Nothobranchius furzeri: one gene and its partner. The protein of the gene in region 2 interacts with the protein of the main gene of each other region in a biochemical or structural test. Links are inferred from orthologs where the notes say so. Each region holds a gene or a part of one and is shown on either strand. Other genes may lie near its edges.

Region 1 (4,761 bases), on a different chromosome or scaffold from region 2:
TGAAATAATGGAAGCTGTGCTTGCACCCTTTCCTGTTGGGCGGTTGTGATTTCTGTCCATCGACTGCGGAGGTGCTCCGGCGTCCGTCAAAAATAGAATTGATCCTATTTTTGCCGGATGGCGGAACGGTGGGCGGCGCACTGCGCCGCACAGCCGCAGTAGTGGAACAGCTCTGATTGACTACAACGGGACCGATTTTGCTGCAGAGTTCGTGCCGGAGCGGAGGTAGTGGAATTTTGGGGTAAGTGTCCGGTAAGTCGCTGCACTCACTGGGGTGAGTTTTAGTATTTAACTTCTCAACTGTGAGCTCATGTTTCCCTAATTCTACAAACTGAAATAACTTTGATTTCTGTCTACAAAAGGATTACTCAGATACTACATGCAATCCCAATAATAATAAAAAAAAAAAATGAAATCACACATCAAATGTGAAAAATAGCTACAGATTGCTAACAAATAATATAATTATTTTCTTCACACTGTGAATTCACTTCCCCTTACCTTCTCCCCTTGTAATGAAGGCACAGAATCTCTTAAACCATGAAAGCTATCCTTGATGTGGTCCCTCCGTTTGCGCTCCAGCGCATTGTGATGTGCTCGTTTGTCTGCCTGCAAAAAAAAAAAAAAAAAAAGAGTAAACAATTTTATAATTCAGACATTTTGTAAAATCAAAACAAAACAGATCCCATGAAAATGTACTCATATTTGCTGGACTCCGTTACTCTGGCCTTACAATATCATCTCAATCCTTATTTGCATTCAAATAAACAAACAGCACACAGGTCGTTGTCTAGCTGACGGTGTGTGTGTGGAGTGAATGCAGGGAAATGAATGGGTGTTTCATGAGTCTTTATTTGTTTATAAATAATTCAATATTAAAAAACGACCAGGACTAATACAGTTTATATTCAAAACTCAACAACAAATGAATCATCAATAAAAATGTTTGCAAGGATGCTTTCATTTGGTCTTTCCTGCCAGATCACTCACTCACACTTCCTCTCATGGCTAAACTTGTGCATGTTGTGGTCAATTAAAAATCAAAACAAGAATAAACACACACATTTTAAGCCTATCAAACAATATGCCTCAAGTAATTTTCAATTACGATCTCAATATGCAGTTTTGTGATATGTTTGTGATATATTTCCACATATGGCTCTATTTCCAAGCATCAACAATTCTTGGAAACAAAAACAACTTTTTGTGTCCTCCGTCAGTGCTTGTACATCCAAGGTTCTTCAGCAGCTTTTCTCTGTTTTATTAAGCACTCAGAAATGTTTGTTTATTTCACCACTAAACAGCCTAAATATTTTAGGTTTTACATGGCCAGAAAACTTCTAGGGAAACTAGGGATAAGCCAATTTATCAGGCTGACTTTACCGTTCTTTTGCAATACCGTTTCATTGGCTGATATAGAAAAAATGGTAACTATTGGCCCAATTTGCCTCTTTAGTGAGCCAATTTAAAAACAGGCACATCCTTGGGTCAGTATGACTGCTACACAGATGCCTTTTCCTGCCTAAACAGCTTCTTTCCTTCAACTCTGCTAAACTCAGCTAAGCTACTGCTAGCAGGTAGTCTCAAATTAGTGTTAATTTAGCATGCAATAAGGCAGAAAACGTCTAGTCATCAGAAGTGAAAATCTGTAAAACAAATGGCAGCACATATCGGCCATCTGCTGTGGTATGTCGGTATCGGCAACAGAAAACCCATATCGGTTGATTCGATTAGAAGCACACAAAACAGATCATAATGAATAACGTAGCAGTCTGGAAATTATGTGATGCTCTTGTTTTAATTTCTTGTGGTGTCTCTGACAATAAATACCATTGAGTAATTGTGTTAAGTAACAGTTTGTTTAATATTGACCAAAAAAAAATTGTGATTATGATTTATTTGCCCCCATGATCCAGCGGCATTAGAAAAGACATTAGCACACAACTCTGTCAACATGAATTTATTGTGTACACTTGTTAAATTGCTTCAACAATAAGGGCTCAACTTGTCAACAAGTGCACGCTTCCGGCAGCTGCATAAGGATCTAAAGCTGCAACTCAAACAAATGTGGGGAAAGAACAACCCCTAGCAAAAATGGGATTTTAGCATAATTTCCCACTCTGACAAAGCTTTGTGCACGTTTCTGTCCTGCAAAGTCTAAATGAATCTACTGTCTGCTCGGTCAAATCAATTCATATCCTCCACATATGTATTTTTAAAGCCATGATGCATTTTACATTCGTGCAGCTTTAATGGAGATCGAGCGACGCCAGCCAGTGTGTAGAGAGGTCGGATGATACGTGAGATACCAAATGGGTCAAAGAGAACATCGAGTTCTTCATGCCTATCCAGTTTAAAGAGGTTGTAGCCAAGAAAATAAGACAGGCGATTGTAATCTTATGTCCGATTTTAAATGAAACACGCATTACAGAAACGGTTGTGACCAGTGCTTAACAGGCCTGGTTAGTATGGTGACGTGTATGGATCAACCTCATATGTAGTTTTTTTTAATGAAACGCTCGCAAAGCAGAGTTTAAAACACGATTGGGGGAAAACATGAAACATTTTGTTTAAAGGGAAACATATTTAAATGTTTCGCCGAGCTGACCTTCCTTACAGCAACAGCTTAGCTCTGCTGTTCGTCTAGTATCTCGTTTTCAGTTTCGATCACTTCAGTTGCGTTTCAGCGAATTTAACATTTTCTTCTCTTTAAATGTGCTAAAAACGGCCAAGATGTAATAAAAAATAATGATTTAAACAAACGGTTGTGTTTGGAGAGGGGGAAAGCTAATGTCGCTGTTTCTCTAATGCTGTGAAACAGGGTAGCTTATTCGACAGCCTCGTCTCATGTGCTCGATTTTTATTTATTTACCAAAAGCCCGAAATAAATAAAATCAAACTAAACAACTTCCACAAGTGGCAGGCCAAACGTTAAAAAAGGAGTTAGCCAGGAAGCTAACAAGTTAGCACAAACACACCAGTGGGGGGTAGGGATATTTATGTAGCCTGGTCGGCTAACAGACCAACTAGCTAAAACAAGGAAGAAACTGAAACACCTACATCGCTGTCGACTTCGATGTCATCGTTTTCACTCATTCTTCAGTAAAAACAACCTAAAAAGAAAACAGGCAGCTGTCAAAACAAAGTGCAGCGACAACTGGAGGTGACCACAGCGTAGCACAGAGCTCCTGCTAAGGCAGAAACATGACATGCAATCAACCGTTTTTCTCCACGTGACTCGCCTACACATGGAACGGAAAAACACACACAGCGCGTGCGCTTTAAAACACGGAATCGTGGGAAATGAAGTATTTTGAACAATACTGCCCTTGGGGGCGATTTTGAAAAAAAAAAAAGACAGAAATTAATTTTATTAGATATATCAAATTATTAAAATTTTATTTCCATGTTTGATCATTTTTATTGATTTCATTCCGGAACTGCGCTGCTCTGGGTGGCTGCATGTTGGAGTATCACCAGTGAACTGAAGAATCTGCTAAATGAAAAAAAAAAAGAGCCTTCAAGGAGGGAGACAGGGAATTATTGAGGAGTATACAGAAGCAACTGAAGATCAAGATCAGAGACAGCAAGGAGGCATACAGGAAGAAGCTGGAGAACAAACTACAGAGGAACAATAATAGAGATGTCTGGTCAGGGATGAAGATCACAGTCTTCAAGCAGAGGAAGGATTGCACAGATGGCAGCCTGGACACAGCCAATGAACTGAACAAGTTCTTCAATAGATTCAGTTCAGGAACAAACCCAGCATCCTCCTCGCCTGTCCCCAGCCAATCAGACATCCCATCCTCCTCTGATCCAACATTTTTCTGTCACACGCCAGCTCTTTTGTCCTCTAACACAGTCATGGAATCTTGTGGTTCTATAAATCTATCTTCAACCAAGTCAGGAGATGCTGCTGCCCCATTTATCTCCCCCTCCCACCTATCTATCTCTAGAAGTCAGGTGAAGAGGCAGCTGGAGAGACTGAACAGGAACAAGGCTGCAGGTCTAGATGGTGTCAGCCCCAGTGTACTGAAGGCTTGTGCAGAGCAGCTCTGTGGGATTCTGCAGCACCTCTTCAACCCCAGCCTGGCCCAGGAGAAGGTTCCAGTCCTGTGGAAGACATCCTCCCTTTTTTCCAGTTCCAAAGAAAACTCGCCCATCAGTCAATGACGACTACAGACCGGTTGCCCTGACATCCCACATCATGAAGGTCCTGGAGAGACTCCTGTTGGTACACCTGAATAAGCAAACTAGGACATATCAGGACCTGCTGCAGTTTGCTTATCACCATGGAGTTGGAGTTGAAGATGCCATCATCCAGCTGCTTCAACCAACCCACTGTCATCTGGACAAAGCAGGCAGCACTGTGAGGGTCATGTTCTTTGATTTCTCTAGTGCATTTAACACAATCCAGCCTGATGTACTTTGCCAGAAACTCCAGAAGACACAGGTGGGGGCCTCAACTATCGCCTGGATTAAAGACTACCTGACAAACAGACCACAGTTTGTGAGGCTGAAGAACTGCACATCAAACCAGGCGATCAGTAACATTGGAGCACCACAGGGGACTGTACTCTCACCATTCCTTTTCTCCCTGTACACCTCAGTCGACTTCCAGTACAAATCAGAGGCCTGTCATCTACAGAAATACTCAGATGACTCTGCAGTTGTCGGGTGTATCAGAGATGGACAGGAAGCTGAGTACAGAGAGCTGGTGGAGCGCTCTGTGGCATGGTGTGGAAACAATCATCTGACCTT
Region 2 (4,762 bases):
AATGCAACTCAATAATAGAGCATTTACTGGGTCTTCTGCTGTCTGTGAAATCGGATGAAAGCCTTGGTTATTCTTTAAACGTGATAGGAGTCAACCCTTTAACCCAAGCGTCCTGGCTGTGTGCAGCACCCCCCCAGGTTTTCAATTCAACAAGCTGAGTATGCCTTTACCTGCTACTTGTGTTTTTCTTGCTTTTGCTTTTCCTTTTCAAGCTTTCCCTCTCTCTGCTGCTGATGAAGGGTGGCATGGAGGCATAGCCGTGTTCAGCTTCTGCAAGCAAATAAACAACAGTGGTCACATGTCCTGTTATCTGCAAACATAGCCAGGGTGGGAGACACGAGATGTTGCACACATCCCCATCTGCATCATCTTACATCCAATGTGTTATGCTGGGATGCATGCATGGAATGAACGGATTTAATAATGCAGTATCTTTAAACAGTGCCCCCCCACCCACCCTCACAGCTTGGACAATGATGTCATCCTGAACTACGATAAACCCTACCAGCAAACCACAACAGAAGGAAAGGAGGAGCTTGCAACTAAACATTGTGTTCCTATATTTTTAATAGCATTTGCATGATTTCTCCTTTCATAAAAGATGCACAATGCACGTTAATCACTGCACCATTCATATTTTATAAATCCTATTTATTGTCATCATCATAGTCAACGATGAACACCTGGGTTAAGAACAGGATGTGCAACTTAAGAATATAAAACCTATTTGCCGGACGCATAAAGAGCCCGATCAGCGTGATAATGGGCAGACATGAACGAAGTGGGAATGTGTTGTTTTTTAACAGCATAGAATTAGAATTAAAATATACTTTACCTCGTTCCCTGCGATCGAGGTACTCTGCTGCTTCGATCAACATCTGCACCATTTCGATCGACGCCATTTTCAACAATAACACTAATAATATTACAATAATCCAACGAGGGATTCCGTTACTGTAGTCACGCTTCTATTTCTGAACTCTTGGGTTCCCTGTTGTTCTCACTTATTGTTCTAAAATGTTGTTTTCGAGTTGCTTCTGCAGGATTTCAATCAATCGATTTTTAAAATAAAAGGTCCCGATAAAAGACGTGGAAAGCGAAACTGGTTTCTCCTATATAAAAAAACAGCTTTAAAGGCTTGGTGGTAGCCTTTTAGCCACGGTAGACGCTAACACTTCCCCACAGCTAAGATTATACCTTTAAACCATTTGATTTGGGTGACTTAGTATCACTGGTTAGACGAATCTCTCTTCAAGAAATACAGATGGCTGTTGATAAAAACGAAACAAAAAATCGATAGTATTTTCTGACTAGTTTTAGGAATAACAACAAAAAGTTGGCAAACGTTAGCGACTGACTACAAACGACTTTAGGTTCAAGTCATCAGCCAAAAAACAAAAAGATGCTGTTAGGCTGGACGCACTTGCCGGAAATCAGGAATATTTTAAAAAGATGAACTAATTCCTGGATTATCTTGACGATGCAATCCAGCCGTTTTGGTTCCAGACTTTTTGGCTAGCTGGTTATGTACTGGTTATCACTAAAAACGCGTGCCTCGTCTAGCTGAATGTAACGACTGACACAGAACGGCGGAAATTTGTCAAAGTGCATCCAAAATAGAGGCTTATGTGGATAGCAGCTCCCAACTGTACTGTAACACAAAGCCGCTGTGTGCTGTCACATGATTGGATGTTGACTATATCCACTCCAGCTTTTATTGGCTGTCTAAAACATCAATGACTCAAAGGGATCGACCCACACTGCAACTGATAACCGTCCACGCCATTTTGGTTCTTAAGTGAACTAGACCGATGTCTGTGGACTAGACAGTAAACAACTAGGGAGCCATAATGGACGGCTTTTCTCAATACTGAATTCACGTTCTGTGATTGGCTGTTTTCAGGTAAACTTGTCAGCTATTGGCTCCGATGCCCACGAGCTCACGAAAATGTCAACGTCCCTTTAACAGAAGCCACGCCTCCCTGCCATGCTGTTTCGTGGTGTACGGCTGTGATTGGCTCTCGTGGTGTTGTTTGCCTCACTTCTTCCTTCTACGATTGGTTTGATAGTCCCTTTACTTTTCCTATCACAACCTGCAATGTGCGCGCAAGCGCACTTTCACAAACTTTTTAATAGAAACTTTATTACTCACATACACACACATTAACTTGTTACTCTGTGAAAACATCTAGACTGAAATATCAACGCACGTACCAGCGCGCCGGGTGGACGGAGCTTACGCAGTGTTACGAGTCCAACACGCCCACCATAGTAGGTTTTATGCAGGAATCTATCTGAATAGAATTTATATGTATACATTTCTAGCAGTGCAATAATCTGCTCAATCAATCTGACTGACCTCCGTCGCCGCTCATCACTTCCGCCAGGTTCATTCGCCGGCACACTGAAAAGAAGCGGACCCGCATTCAAAAAAAGTACACAATGTTCCTGAATGCAATCAACGTGAAACGACGAAAAATATGTTAACAAAACAAACAAAAAAAAAAAAAAAAAAAAAAAGAAAGAAAAAAAGAAAAGAAAAGAAACCGAGACAACTCCTTTATCATTCTCGTGCAACGAAAAGTACCTTCCAGGTACTCTTATGCACCAAAAATCCAAACCCTAATAAAAAATAAATAAAAAATGCAAGAACATTTACAACACACACTTCTGTTGTTTGAAACTTCAATAAAGTTAAACTTTTATTTAATCTATCTTTAAAGCTCCGCTTTTGCATAGATGTGTGGGACTGTGAGATGCTGCAGTAATCTGACAAAAACTTTCACATTTACAGAAAACTCACAATATGTGAAGATCTTTTGACACATTTGAGTTTTCAACTGGACTAGTGGCTCCAGCCGATCTCAGGAACGACCCCAGGTATCTCTGTCCAGAGGAGACATTGGATTAGACGAAGCTCCCTGGTCTCTGGTACTAGTGACGACTCCTCAAATACATCAACACAAATTGACATGTTTGTGCAGATCTGGGCAGAAAAAGAAACACATGCTCTACATAATCAGCACACCATCAATTTCAAAGAGTTTATTTCCAACAACACGTAAAAAGCACAGCAACAAAAACTAAATAACTGAAGGAACAACTACATGTTGAGTGATAATATATACACAGAACTGCTGCATCACATTTAACAGCATGTAATCCATGTCCTCCCCTTGCTGGAAAAAGGAGGAAATGCAGCGTGACATTTTCAAGCGATGAAATCCAGCGGCCTGTTGAATCCTCCCTTTCTGTTCATGTACTGCCTGTAAAAACATTTAGAACAACAGTGCATCACAACTTCCCTCTCAACACTTGCAGATTACATCATCAAGAGTCAATAGGAGAGCAGGATTCTCTGCAGAGAGACACCTGCTGACGTGATTGGCTACTTTAATAGTGGTTGCTGCTTGTAATGCCAATTTCCCAACAGGATAAAACTTTGTTTATTAAAAATTAGCTGCTTCAACAATCATTTTAAAAGTCGCTCTGCTTAATGTGCTATGCACAAAATTCTCCATGACACCGCTAAACTTCAGTATTTGCAGGCTAACTTGATATTTTTCTCTGTGAACGTACCTGTACTTTCTCTTCATGCTAACGTTGATGGCAAATGCATTAACTGATCCATCTGTTTTCTTCCCCTGTGGGAAAACAATGTTCAATCACAAACAGAAATACATGCTGCAGATGCTATCCTGATGTGGTCTATTACATTTACAGTTCATCAATCAGCAAACGCTACTAGACAGTGGCTGATGGTGCACTTCCTGTCTTGTGTCGTTTTCTGAATGTCAAACAGTCTTAAAACTGCGAAGTATCAGCAAGCATGAAGCCGTCGTGGTGAATGGCCACAACTCAGGAACACAGCGCCACCTGGTGGCTGCATGCACACATTTTTCACTCACTTTAGAAGAATCAAATGAAGAAAATCCCATTAACTTCATCATTTCAATTTCCTCCTCCGTTTTGCCCTGCATGTCCTCTGCTGTAAAAACAGAAAGAATATCTGATTTAACTCATTGTTTAAAGACGTTTATAAATGTCCAGCAAACTGAACAAAGGATTTCTTTCTGAAAACAATCAGCAACACAAAACCTGAGATCTGGATGGGCTTTGAAGACTTGTCTTTCACTTCTTTGCGCTCATCATCACGTCTGTCCTTCTGTCTCATGGGAGACGACGAGGAAGAGCGGTGGCGCCTAGGGGGAGACCTGTCCAAAGAGCATAAAGACGGCTGCAGGACAAAGGATCACAACAACTGAGGAAGGAAACATTATTGTCTAAGAAAGGATAGAAGGGTTCATGTCTACAGGCTAAAACAGGAAAATGAGAATCTGGTGCAAAAGTCCATTCATGTCAGTAATCCAGCTCAGACTGAGAGACCATCTAAAGGCTCAGGAACCTTTTGCTGTTCTGGATTCATCAGCTGATCAGAGTGCGACAACTTGAGTCTAGAACATTGATCCTTTTCACAATATTCTAATCATCTGAGATTTTGAATGGGGGGTTTCATCAACAAATAAAGGCTGAAACATCTGGATTTGCATGGAATGACTGTCTCATAGATTAGTTTCACCTTTTAAGTTGAATTAGTGAGATTAACAAACTTTTGCTCCATATTCTAATCCTCTGAGTTTCACTTGTATGTGTGCATGTTGCTTTTTATCAGGGGGACAAAAACTCACCTTGAACGCCTCCTGTGTGGAGAACGTGAACGAGATCTGCGTCGGTCTCGCTCCCGATCTCTAGAGCGAGAGCG

What was found.
Region 1: the proteins of mxd1 (region 2) and protein max form a complex in vitro, tested with the Homo sapiens proteins (4 studies listed by BioGRID, with this or other methods). The link is inferred for Nothobranchius furzeri from reciprocal best matches to the Homo sapiens genes MXD1 and MAX.

What each region holds. Positions count from the first base shown.
Region 1 is NC_091758.1:33,258,149-33,262,909, forward strand, and holds the start of protein max, read right to left. Parts: upstream 3,241-4,761; 5' UTR 3,097-3,240; coding exon 3,061-3,096; intron 610-3,060; coding exon 502-609; intron 1-501. UniProt on the Homo sapiens protein: Transcription regulator. Forms a sequence-specific DNA-binding protein complex with MYC or MAD which recognizes the core sequence 5'-CAC[GA]TG-3'. The MYC:MAX complex is a transcriptional activator, whereas the MAD:MAX complex is a repressor.
Region 2 is NC_091757.1:29,115,267-29,120,028, reverse strand, and holds the start of mxd1 (max dimerization protein 1), read right to left. Parts: upstream 2,945-4,762; 5' UTR 2,829-2,944; coding exon 2,804-2,828; intron 2,405-2,803; coding exon 2,360-2,404; intron 1,684-2,359; exon of another isoform or gene 903-1,683; coding exon of another isoform or gene 836-902; intron 433-835; exon of another isoform or gene 375-432; intron 271-374; coding exon 171-270; intron 1-170. Other genes in the region: snrnp27 (U4/U6.U5 small nuclear ribonucleoprotein 27 kDa protein), read right to left, coding at 3,212-3,266, 3,580-3,644, 3,909-3,988, 4,099-4,214, 4,689-4,762. UniProt on the Homo sapiens protein: Component of a transcriptional repressor complex together with MAX. In complex with MAX binds to the core DNA sequence 5'-CAC[GA]TG-3'. Antagonizes MYC transcriptional activity by competing with MYC for MAX binding.